Oryctolagus cuniculus: one gene and its partners. The protein of the gene in region 3 interacts with the protein of the main gene of each other region in a pairwise test. Links are inferred from orthologs where the notes say so. Each region holds a gene or a part of one and is shown on either strand. Other genes may lie near its edges. The genes, in order: WWC1, AKAP9 and CDC5L.

Region 1 (3,645 bases), on a different chromosome or scaffold from region 3:
ACCAAACTCAGGCTGAAATTCCATCACTCCTAGGAGATGCTAAGAGAACAGAGACTTAAGCAGAGTATCGTACTTGGAGGTGGGACCCTCTGGAGGTGGTAAGATTAAATGAGGCCATAGGGATGGGACCCTAAGGCAACAGGACTGTGGCTTTATCCAAAGAGGAGGAGAGACCCAGCCGGGACCTTCTGTCTGCTGTGGGATGCACTGTGTCACCTTGGGACTCCGCAGAGTCTTTACCAGCAGAGAAGCCCTCACTCAGTGTAGTTACCTGATCTTGAACTTCCCTGCCTGCACAACTGTGAGCAGAATAAACCTTTAGTTTTTACAAATGACTCAGACTGCGATGCTCAGTTATAGTTACAGAAAGTAGACAGCACGGACGGAGACAGCACAATACATACAGCTGGGTTGTGAGCATTTGTTCCCACTCGTCAGATGGAAAGGAAGGAAAGGGCTGGGACACGGCCCAGTGAGCGTGGCCATGTGAGATGGGCCAGGGGAACCATCACAATGTAAACCAGACCTGGCAGTGGGTCCGCCCGGGCAGAGCATGAGCTGTGTGGCAAAGCTTAGCAGGTGCACAGGGGGCAACCAGGACTCCTGTGAAGCCACAGTGAGCATACTCTGTACTTGCAACAGGCAGGGAAGGCGGGCCTCATGTTCCCCCAAAACCTTGATCTGGGTCAGGGGATATGAGAGTCACTCAGAGCAACCCCAAGAGGTAGGAAAGTGCAGTGGCTACACACAAGGAAGCTACAAACCCTGGCTTCTCCATCGACTTGCTGGAGGATCTGCAGAAGTAAATCAGCCTTTGGCAGAGGGAGGTCACCCCACTACTTCCTCTCAGAGCTACCATGAGGATGCACTGAGATACTGCACACAGAGTTCCTGGCCAAGGGCAGACACCCAGACGCCGCCCAGTGAGGGGACTGCTGCTGCCTGGCTGACCACAGGGCTCCCAGCAGACGCACAAGGCAGGGAGGCTCTGGGTGGCAGAAGACAATCCCTGTCTCCTCCCGTCTCACTTCCTCTCACCACCAAAACATGACAGCCTGACACTCCACGTCCCCATGGCATACGGAAAGGGAGAGCTCCGATTGGCCCCGGACAGAGACAAGCCACAGGGAGATGAGCGCTTTGGCTGCTGCCATGGCAACCAGCAATGGCCAGACTTCAATTAGGAAGGAGGAATAAAAGGCATCCAATTAGGAGGAGAAAATAGCACGAGTCTCCTCGGATTTAGGAATGCCCAGGGCTGAGCAAATGCTCCACTGGAGGCGCCTGGGTGTGGAAAAGCTTTCTGCTGTAACCGAAATGCCCACCACGCTGGCCTGACCCTGGACATCACACTTCCACTCCCACCGACGCTCTCCAGGAAATCCTGAGCAGAGATGGACCCGCCTGGAGTCCAATAAGGCTCCTGCCACTCTCTGACTGTGTGACTACAGGGAAGGTCTTTTGCCACTGTGTGCCTCAGTTTCCCCTCTGGTACACATGACCTGTTTTGTAAGGTTGAAGTGAGCCAGCACACTAAAGCACTTAGCTCAGAGTCCACGAGTTATCATCAAAATTGTCTCAGGGTAGGCATGCAGTCTAGTGGTTAAAAGGCAAGTTAAAAGGTATTTAGGTTTGATTCCCAGCTCTGCCTCCTGACTCCAGCTTCCTGCTAATGTGCGCCCCAGGGGACAGCAGTGACAGCTCAAGTAGTTGGGTTCCTGCGACCCACATGGGAGACTGAGGTTGAGTTCCTGGCTCCTGGCTTCAGCCCATCCAGGTCCTAGCTGTTCTGGGCATTGGAGAGTGACCCACTAGATGGGAGCTGGCTTTATTTTGGCTCTCTCCATCTGTCAGCCTCTCAAACTTAAAAAACAAAACCAATAAATAAATAAACAAAATACTCTATCCTCTAGAATGGCACCAGGGCTAACAAAGACTTCACTTCTTTGATTTGTATGTCACAAGCCCCTGAGTTTAACATAAATCCCCCTTTCATCTACGAGGTGGCTGACCAACATCCACCTGTACATGTGGCTGCTGGTCCCTAAGGACAGGACACACACAGACCCCAGGCTCCTTCATATCCGATCCTGACTCCTGCTAGTGCAGTGGGTGGGAGGAAGCCACATGAGCTCTGTTCCAGGGAGTGGACCAGTAAGGGCCCCGCTGCACGAGAGCCTTCTGTGTGTCAGGCATGGCAGCAGGTGCTTTTCCTGTACTGACTCCCTGGATCCAAGTAACAACTTCCCTAGTGGGCATCACTAGGGCATTTTATGGATGAAAAAACAGAGCACCAGAGATGTTAAGTCCACTGCCCAAGGCCACCCAGCTATATAGCAAGAAGAACTGCTTGTTCTCATTATTCAGTGTTTCTTGTCTCATCCTTAATGCTGCACAGGTAAGCTGTGGTCTGTGGCTGGCATCTCCTGCATTTCTCTCAGGCCCACTACTCTTCCTCTTATGAGGAAAAGTATCTCTGTCTAGAAGCCAACGAACTTGACCGGTGATTCGACCTGGGCCTCCTTCTCGCCTTCTCTCTGCAGCCTGGGGTGGACCAATCCCCAGAAGGCTAGAAGGCTAGAAAGACAGAGGGACAGACGGAGATACGCTCTCACCAGGCACTCCTCTAGATGGCTCCTGTCCGTGGTACAGACGTCGACTCTTAAGGTCTTCTGGTGTAGGGCTGGGTAGGACATGGACACCCAGAATACCTCGTTGAACACCAGGGTGTCCGAGGCGTCCAGGGGCGGCGTCCGGAACAGGCAGGTGGTGCTTTCGGAGCAAGGAAGGATAACCACGCGAACGTTCCTACAGGGAGACAGGGTGGCAGGAGAGCTTGGGTCAGCACAGGTCTGGGGCTACTGTGTTGGGTGAAATAGCCGCTGAATCTCCAAGATTCACAGTGGCTGTGAATGTGCAAATTTCTCAAGTTGCTACACGGGTACTTGTGAGCGATGCAGGATATGCCGCTGAGGGGCATGCACGCCCTTCCTGTCCCTGAATCCCCCGCTCCATACAACCGGAGCCCGAGGCCAGCAGCAGCCAGTGCTTGCTGACACCGGGGAATCTGCCCCTCCTACCCCAAGAGGCAAATGCAACAAAACCTTCCTTGTGCAGGGGAATTCGATAAGCCCAAGAAAACTATAGCTGTGCTGGCCCTCTCTTCTAGGCACTGTCCCCCTGATACCGTGGACAAGGACCAGTGAGACAGACCAGGAGAAGGATGTTCACCCCGGCACTGCCGACACCTGCAGAGGACTGAAGACCCCCGAGCATCCAGTCTCGTCCTCCTTCTGTTTTGTCTGCTTTCCTTTCCCTGCCATTCCTCTCCCCCAGACGCTGGCTGGGTACAGACCAGAGAAGCAGGAGCTCCCGTGGCTGCCCTTATGGCCTAGGATGGTCCCGTTACAGGAGAAGCAAGTAGGCAGACGCGTGCCATCAGATGCAAACCTCGTCTACAACGGGAGAGCCAACACGCAGATGGTGCAGGTGTCTGTTGGCTGATCAGCCTGTCGGTAATCCCAGCCATACCCTGGCACGGGGAGCACAGGAACTGGCGCTGACCCTTGAGAAGCCAGGACTCACTCCTTTCTAGGTGCAACACTTGAGCTCAGAGATCTACCTGACTGTGACCATTCCTTCTTC
Region 2 (3,745 bases), on a different chromosome or scaffold from region 3:
TCACTAGTGCCACACATTTGCCCTTCCTCGGGTTCACTCCCCAACTGACTACAAAAGCTGGATGGGAAGCCGGGAGCCAGAGCTGCTTCCGGGTCTCTCCCGTGGGTTAAGGGACCCAAGCACTTGGGACATCTTCCTCTGCTTTGCTAGGCCCTTAGCAGGGAACTGGAACAGAAGAGCAGCAGCTAGGACTGGAACCAGCGCCAGGTGGGGGCTTAACCTGGTATGCCAGAGCACCCCCCTCCCACCTTTTCCTTTTTTAACCCCAAGTTTCACTGAATATCACCAATACGTTGAACTCGCAGCTTGTTTCCACTCCTGACAGTTTCTCAGCCCAACCTCACTCAACAAAGGAGAGGGGAACTCAACATCAGTATTCAACCTAAGACAGGATCATTTGTATTCACTCTAGGAACGGAGGGTTGGCGAATGGGAGGGTGGTGAAGGGGGCAGGAGGAGGATTGCGGGGCCAGGTGAGTGGAAGAAACGGAAGAGTAATGATCAATTTATAGACGTGACCAGTCAACCCAGCAGTATTTATTCGGAGCAAAGCCCTGTGCTAGTCGTTTATTAATGCCACGGTGAGCAGGATCCATGAGGGGGTCCGTGCCTCCAAGGAGCCAGGAATATCAGGTGACCTAAGAAGCACGCAAGCCAACAAAACGCGTGCAGAGGACATCAAGGAAATTCGAGAAAAACGGCAACCGACATTAATTCGGGGCGATTCGGTAGGCCAGGGGCAGTCACAAAGATGACCACCCTTCCCCAATCCCAGGACAGGTAACGTGTGTCGTGTCAGGTGGTGCGCCCGGGCTGGGTCCCCGAGAGCACCGCTGCCAGAGGCCCCAGCGAGGCTGGATGGGAGTGCAGGTTCAGCAGGAGCCCTCCCGGGGGCGGGGGGCGAACAAAGACAGGAGCCGTGTGCGTGCAGGCGGAGGCGTGCGAGGTGGGCCTCGGAGGACCCGGCAGCCTGGGCGGGAACCGGCGTGGGCCAGGGGGCGGGACTGCGAGGCCAGGGAAGTCACCGCCGCAGTCGCCGCTCTCCCGGTTTCTGGCGTGGAGGAGTCCACCTAGGTTGAAAAGCCGGGGTCCGGCAAGTCTCTCCCGCCTGCTGGCCACTGTGGCTGCTCAGAGGTCCTTCATATCTGATGGCTTCGTGATTGGAAAAACCGCTCTGTTTGAAGAGCGCCGAGTCCCGCGCACCGTGGCGGCACTGCTGGCCGGCGGGCGGGCGGCCCTGGACACCGCTCCCGCCTCAGCCCCGCCGCCGCCGGGAGCCGCCGGGAGCCGCCGGGCCGCGGGAGGACGGCGCGGGCGGGGGCGGGGCCGCGGCGCACCTGCCCGGCGCGGCGGCTGCGCGGACCGACGTCCCCCCCCCCCCACGACGCCCGCCGAGTGTTTACGTGGAGACGAAGATGGCGGCGGCGGTGACGGCGCTGGCCGTGCGGCCCGGGACGAGCCGCCAGTGAGCGCGGAGGCTGCTCGCGCTCCGGGCGGGGCCGCGCCGCGCCGGGCCTGCTCGCTGGGCCGCGGAGCTCGCCGCCCCACCTCCGCCTGAACCGACCTTTCCTGTCTCCCCCAAACCCCGCCCGCTGCTCCGCCGCCTTCCCGCAGAGGCCATGGAGGACGAGGAGCGACAGAAGAAGCTGGAGGCCGGCAAAGCGAAGGTAGGAGAGGCGGAGGCAGCCGGGCCCGGGGAGGGAGGCGGCGGCTGGGCAGGGTGGGAGGGGGCCTGGGAGCGGAGCTGGCGGCGGCCGGCGCGCGCTGGCTGGCGGGGAGCGAGGTGCCGCGGCCCCGCGTTTCCCCCTCGCCCCTTGTTCCAGTAGGGGCGAAGCCCGGCGCCCCCTCCTCGCCGCCGATACTTGGGTGCTGAGTGAACGGCGTGGCTGCTTTCTCGTAAATGCCCAGGGCTGCCGTCAGCTGGTGTTTAATTGCTCCCGAATCTCAGCCTTTCACTTTCTTCAGGGGGTGTTCTGGGCGGTGCAGGCGTTGTGCTGCCCAGCGAGGAGATTCAGGGCTTCTCCTTTATTTGGGGGGGATTGGCGCGCGGCCGGCGGCTCGCCCGCCTCTCTGGCACGCTGGCACTCCGGGGCGTGTGTGATTGGCCTGTGACAGCTGCCTCGGCAGTGGCTCGAGTGTGCCACAAGTGCCAGCTGTGAACTTGGCTGCAGGGGCGTTGACAGAAGCGTGCCTTTGTATGTCTGTCTGCGGAGGTCTTTGTCGCGGCACCGAGGCTGTCTGCATGGAACTTCTGGGAACCCAGAGGTTCTGTGTTCCAAGTGACACCTACAGAATTCCTGCTTTGAGTAATGTCGTTGTCCTCTGTGTAGCTCCGGTGAGCCGCTGTTTCGTGTGTGTGCGCGCGCGCACGAAAAAGCCTGTAAAGCAAACAATACAAAATCATACACAGGTGTCATTCCTTGGGCTTCATGAAAAACTTGACACGAGATACATTTGAATAACCTATTTCTTTTAAACATTGCGTGTTAGACGTGTCTTCTGGTTGGCCCCAAAGGACCCCTTCTTCTTTACAACGAAATGACCTTTTGTAGGTTATCTGCTAATCTCTGTAGAGGTAATTGTCAGCAATCATACTTGGACTGCGGTTAAATGGTAGTGTAGTTAACTGTTTCTCCTCTCCGCCTTCCCTCCCCTCCCCCCACATAAACAAAGGAAACCGGGGCCCTGGCTGCAGTCCTCCGGGAAGGGCCACCTGCAGAGGTGCAGCAGGAGAGTGCTCATCCCAGGTGTGTCTGCCTGCGTGTGTAACGTAGCAATGCAGTGGGCTTTGCAGGAAGCTCCCTCCGCCCGAGGTCCAGGCTCACAGGTAGCCAGGTGGACTTTTAGAATCTGTACATGGAGGGAAGGGGAACAGGGCACCTTCCAGAGCCCCCAAATTGCTTACATTACACAAACCCCGTGTGTCCCTTGAGGGAGGTTAGCTGTGTGCTGGCTTCCAGAAGCACTGAAGTTCTAATCTGTCTGGCTTGGGAATTTTTACTGCTTGCCCCCAAAAATGTCTTTCCTAAAAACATGTGAAGCAGTCCCATGAAAGGTGATTTACTTTGGACAGACATATATCATGATAGAGGATTTAATTAAATAGTTGTAAGTAGTTGATTTGGCAAAATGGAGTTCTGTATGCTCTAGCGGTGTGTGTGTGTGTGTGTGTTTCAAAATTCTACCAATGGAGTAATGTTAATAGGTTAACTTGTATTTCAGAAGTTTATCTTCTTCTGGAGTTAAGCCTGCTTTTCCCAGTGAGAAATCTGTGAAACGTATAAGGCAGGATATGTTTGGGGCCACATTAGCTCTGCAATAAAAATACCGAAATAAGTCTTGAGAGATGATATGAAGAGACTGGCTTTCTAAGATGTATAAATGCAATGGAATAGTATGCAGCCATTAACGTTATGAAGACTAACAGCATGGAAGATAGAATGAAAATGGCATCATCAAAAATAGTCTATAAATTATTTCCTCTCTATATAAGCATGTGTTTTAGTTAGGACTGAAAAACATTGGGTTCTTTTTTTTTTTTTTTTTTTTTTTTGACAGGCAGAGTGGACAGTGAGAGAGAGACGGAGAGAAAGGTCTTCCTTTGCCGTTGGTTCACCCTCCAATGGCCGCCACAGCCGGCGTGCTGCGGCCGGCGCACTGCGCCTATCCGAAGGCAGGAGCCAGGTACTTATCCTGGTCTCCCATGGGGTGCAGGGCCCAAGCACTTGGGCCATCCTCCACTGCA
Region 3 (3,745 bases):
GGCGGCCCACACTGGCCTTCCCTACATGGTTCCTGGACGTGTTCTGTTAGATCTGAATACTGTTTGCAAGAAAGGGCTTGGAAAACAGCAGTGCTGTCATTAGTTGCTGAACACATAGGGAGATCAAGTACACATTGGGAGTTATGAGAAAAATATTTGACTAAATACACAGAATATAAAGTATAGTCATTCTAAAGACACTACATTGTGGGGCTGGTGCTGTGGCATAGTAGGCTAAGCCTCTGCCTGTGGTGCCAGCATCACATATGGGCTCTGGTTCTTGTCCCTGCTGCTCCTCTTCCAGTCCAGCTCTCTGCTATGGCCTGGGAAAGCAATAGAAGATGGGTCCCTGCACCCGCGTGGAAGACCCGGAAGAAGCTCCTGGCTCCTGCTTTCTGATCGGCCCAGCTCCCACCATTGCAGCCATTTGGGGAGTGAACCAGTGGATGGAAGACCTCTCTTGCCCTCTCTGTCTGTAAAGCTACCTCTCAAAAAATAAATTTAAAAAAAATCTTAAAAATATCCTGTTGTATCTGAATAATTTTTATGCCAACAAATGACATCAGCATTATTAAAAACACCTAAAAAGTTCCCATTTCAAGATAAAAAAATTATCAGAACATTCTGTAGTTTTTCCAGAAGACGCAAATGGAGAAATGAAAAAACCTAAAGAGCAAGGCACTATATAAAGACCCAGGACTTTCCTCATCCATTAACTAAATATTTTCATATTTCCTAGGACTGGCGTCAAAGCGATGTTCTGAAATGGGAAAGATGTCTGAGTAACTCGGAAGTGGGGTGGCGGAGAGCTGGACAACCCTTATCCAAGGTTAGGTTTTGGTTTGTCACAGCTAATCCTGCCCCTCCGATTGCTGAAGCCGGTGTTGCTGGCTCCACTTTTCAGACGAGCACTCTGAGATTCAGCACGGGTATTACCCACGCTGACGAGACAGCCAAGATTCCGGCCCAACTCGAGTCCGGCTCCCTTAATACCAGCGCCCATAATGGTCTTTGTTATTAATTCACACAGACTGAATGGCGATGGATGAAAGACGCTGAGGGGACATCGGTGGGGGCTTCCGGGACAGCCGCTGCGCCCCTCCCCGGGGGCAGGTGGAGGCGCTGCCCTCCTTGGAATCGCAGCGGCGCTTTTTGGGAACAGTCGTCTGTCAGACCCTGCACTCCGCTGAGGACCTCACTTCTTAGCAGAACCCCACTGGGTGGGGGCTATTATTACTACTCTGTATTACAGGTTGGGAAACTGAGCCGCAGATAAGCTGTTCTCTTCCTCCTGCGTACTCGACTAGCGAAACGCTCAATAAAGCGCTAGTTCGCGACGCTTTCTCCGGACCGGCTACTCTGCAAGGCCACACACAACCCGTCTGCACCCCCACCGCCGAGTGACGTCACGATGACCAACCCCACCGCGACGCCGGGCCGGCCGCCGCTGCGGATGTCTCGCGAGAGCCATGGCTTCCTCCAGCCTGACTTGGACATGCGCGCGGCGCACGGCGCTACGGCCACAGCAGTTTGATGGTTTTCTGTCAGTCTGTACACTAGAGCTTTGAGAAAGCACTTCTAACCTTTCAGCCTCCCGAGATATCGCGAGACTTGCTATTCTGCCACCGCCCCCCCCGCCACCTCCTTGCGCCTGCGCAGATCTCTTCAAAGCAGAAGGTCGCGCTTGGAGGAAGTGGCGGCTTTGGGTCCCGTGACCGGAGCGCCGTTACTACTTTTCTGAAGCTCCTCTCGGCCGCTTGCCGAGACCACCTGTCGCCAAGATGCCTCGAATTATGATCAAGGGCGGCGTGTGGAGAAATACCGAGGTGAGTCTCTTTTCCCGCCGTCCGCTGCCCTCCGCCCCCTCCGGCAGCTTGTGCGCACGCGCGCGCGCGGGGGCCGGGGAGCGGACGAGGATGCCCTGCGGGGTCTGCGTGGGGTGGGCCGGGCCGCGCAGCGCCAGGGCCGACGACCCTCGGCGCCTCAGCGCTGTTCCCCGCCAGGGGTGACGGGAGCGCCCCAAGGACCGGCGGCTCGGCTCCGAGCTCACCGTCAGGCACTTGTTAGGCCCTTAGCGAACATTTGTTGAGTCGAGGCCGCGCCGCCCCGGCCCCCTTTCCCCGAGGTCCCCACTGGGTGGCAGGAGGGGTGGGACATCCAGGAGAGGTGATCTTCCGGGACGCTACCCCCCCTCAGCTCGCGGCTGTCTCTGGCACCCCAAAACTAAAGAACTTGGTGCAGCCACAACTTTGTTTCTTCGCTGACTTCTTGCAGAGAGGGGAAGCAGCTTGCATACCGAGTTCTCGGCGCCCGTTTCTCCTGCATCCGTCGGTTTATCCGTCAGCCAGGCACAGCCTGTGCGCGCTCTCCCGACAGATGCCAAGGCCTGTCTCTCTCTTAGCTTCCCGTCTCTCCGCCTTGGCATGGCTTGAAGCCAGATAGGACAGACTGCTGCGGGTAGTGTCGTAGTGGATCGTGCCATCTGAGAGCCGGAGAGCAGTAGAAAGGGAGCAAGACAGAAATGAGATTTGAGTGCGTTTCGTGTCGAGTGCCCTGGATCGATCAGTTTCTGAGCACGGCTTATCTCGTGTCTTTTATTACCTCTGTGCCTCCTTGCGGTATCCTCGACCCGCTTGGCATCCTCCTGACCTGGTTCAGAAGCCCTTGGCGGCCAAATCTTCGCCTGTTCAGCCTGTGAGCGTTGGTAGCACCCCCCTGTGGGCCCACGGTGCCTGTCATCCACTTGTTGTCGGCTTGCTTTGACTTTTGCCAGTGTCACATCCTTGGGAGTGATGCTGGCAGGTTTCTCCATTTCTCCAAGCCTTAGATTCCTCATGTTTCTGTGGGGATTAAGTGAGCTGCCACATTTGGGACATTTGGAACAGTCGGGAACACAGTAGCCTTTCAGCCAGTGCTAGGCACCTCTTACCTCTCCAGACAGCACTGGGGGAGGGGAGGGGAACAGGTCCTGCTCTTCCTGGAGCACAGGAGAGTAACCAGCGTGAAGTAGTAGGTTGCTTGGCAGATGTTTGTGGAATGCATCTCGGCGGGTACGCGGGACGTAGCTGTGATCTAAGTATTAGAGGTGCAGCACCACGTGACAGATGAAGGCAGTGCAAGTCCCCTCCCTTGTGCTGAGGGAACTAGGCTGTTTGAATGGAGAGGAGTTGACTTGTGAGGGAGAGACCCGTGAAAAAATCAAGTAGTAGCAGGATTCCTGTGCTACGGTCAAATCTGCTGACAGATTTCTACAGTTGGCTGTGGAACAGAGCCTGCAAGTGAAATGTCTCAAGTGCATTCACATCTGGCTCCATCGTCCTCCGCGCCAGTGGCTTGGCTTGCCAGGCTGCTCTGGGATTGGTACATTCCGTGTTTGGGTGGCAGCCCTGGTGAAATAGTATCTAGAGTCTGGGGGAGACTGGAGAGAGATGACTTGGGAGGGGTTGTGGAGAGAAATATTTGAATCTCAGGTTAGAACTGAGATATGGTCTAATCTGAGATGTGGATTCTTGGGTCGTGGTGGGGCGGATGGGGCTGGGGAGGAAAGGCCGTGCTTGAACTGGAGGCAGGAAGTGTGAATTGGAGAGTGGTTTCATCTGAGTCCCAACTTGCTTTTTGAGGCCTGGATGTGTCCTATTCGATTCTCTCCCCAAGTATACAAGACCTGGTGCAAGGCAAGTGTTCAGGAAGTGTTTTCTGAGTGAAGGTGTAAATGAATGAGCTGTGCCTGCTTGAAGAATGACAG

What was found.
Region 1: the proteins of CDC5L (region 3) and WWC1 interact in a two-hybrid assay, tested with the Homo sapiens proteins (2 studies listed by BioGRID and IntAct). The link is inferred for Oryctolagus cuniculus from reciprocal best matches to the Homo sapiens genes CDC5L and WWC1.
Region 2: the proteins of CDC5L (region 3) and AKAP9 interact in a two-hybrid assay, tested with the Homo sapiens proteins (2 studies listed by BioGRID and IntAct). The link is inferred for Oryctolagus cuniculus from reciprocal best matches to the Homo sapiens genes CDC5L and AKAP9.

Annotation. Positions count from the first base shown.
Region 1 is NC_091437.1:55,263,361-55,267,005, reverse strand, and holds part of WWC1 (protein KIBRA), read right to left. Parts: intron 2,809-3,645; coding exon 2,616-2,808; intron 1-2,615. UniProt on the Homo sapiens protein: Regulator of the Hippo signaling pathway, also known as the Salvador-Warts-Hippo (SWH) pathway.
Region 2 is NC_091447.1:43,776,146-43,779,890, reverse strand, and holds the start of AKAP9 (A-kinase anchor protein 9), read left to right. Parts: upstream 1-1,533; 5' UTR 1,534-1,619; coding exon 1,620-1,667; intron 1,668-3,745. UniProt on the Homo sapiens protein: Scaffolding protein that assembles several protein kinases and phosphatases on the centrosome and Golgi apparatus. Required to maintain the integrity of the Golgi apparatus. Required for microtubule nucleation at the cis-side of the Golgi apparatus.
Region 3 is NC_091436.1:125,738,334-125,742,078, reverse strand, and holds the start of CDC5L (cell division cycle 5-like protein), read left to right. Parts: upstream 1-1,443; 5' UTR 1,444-1,781; coding exon 1,782-1,826; intron 1,827-3,745.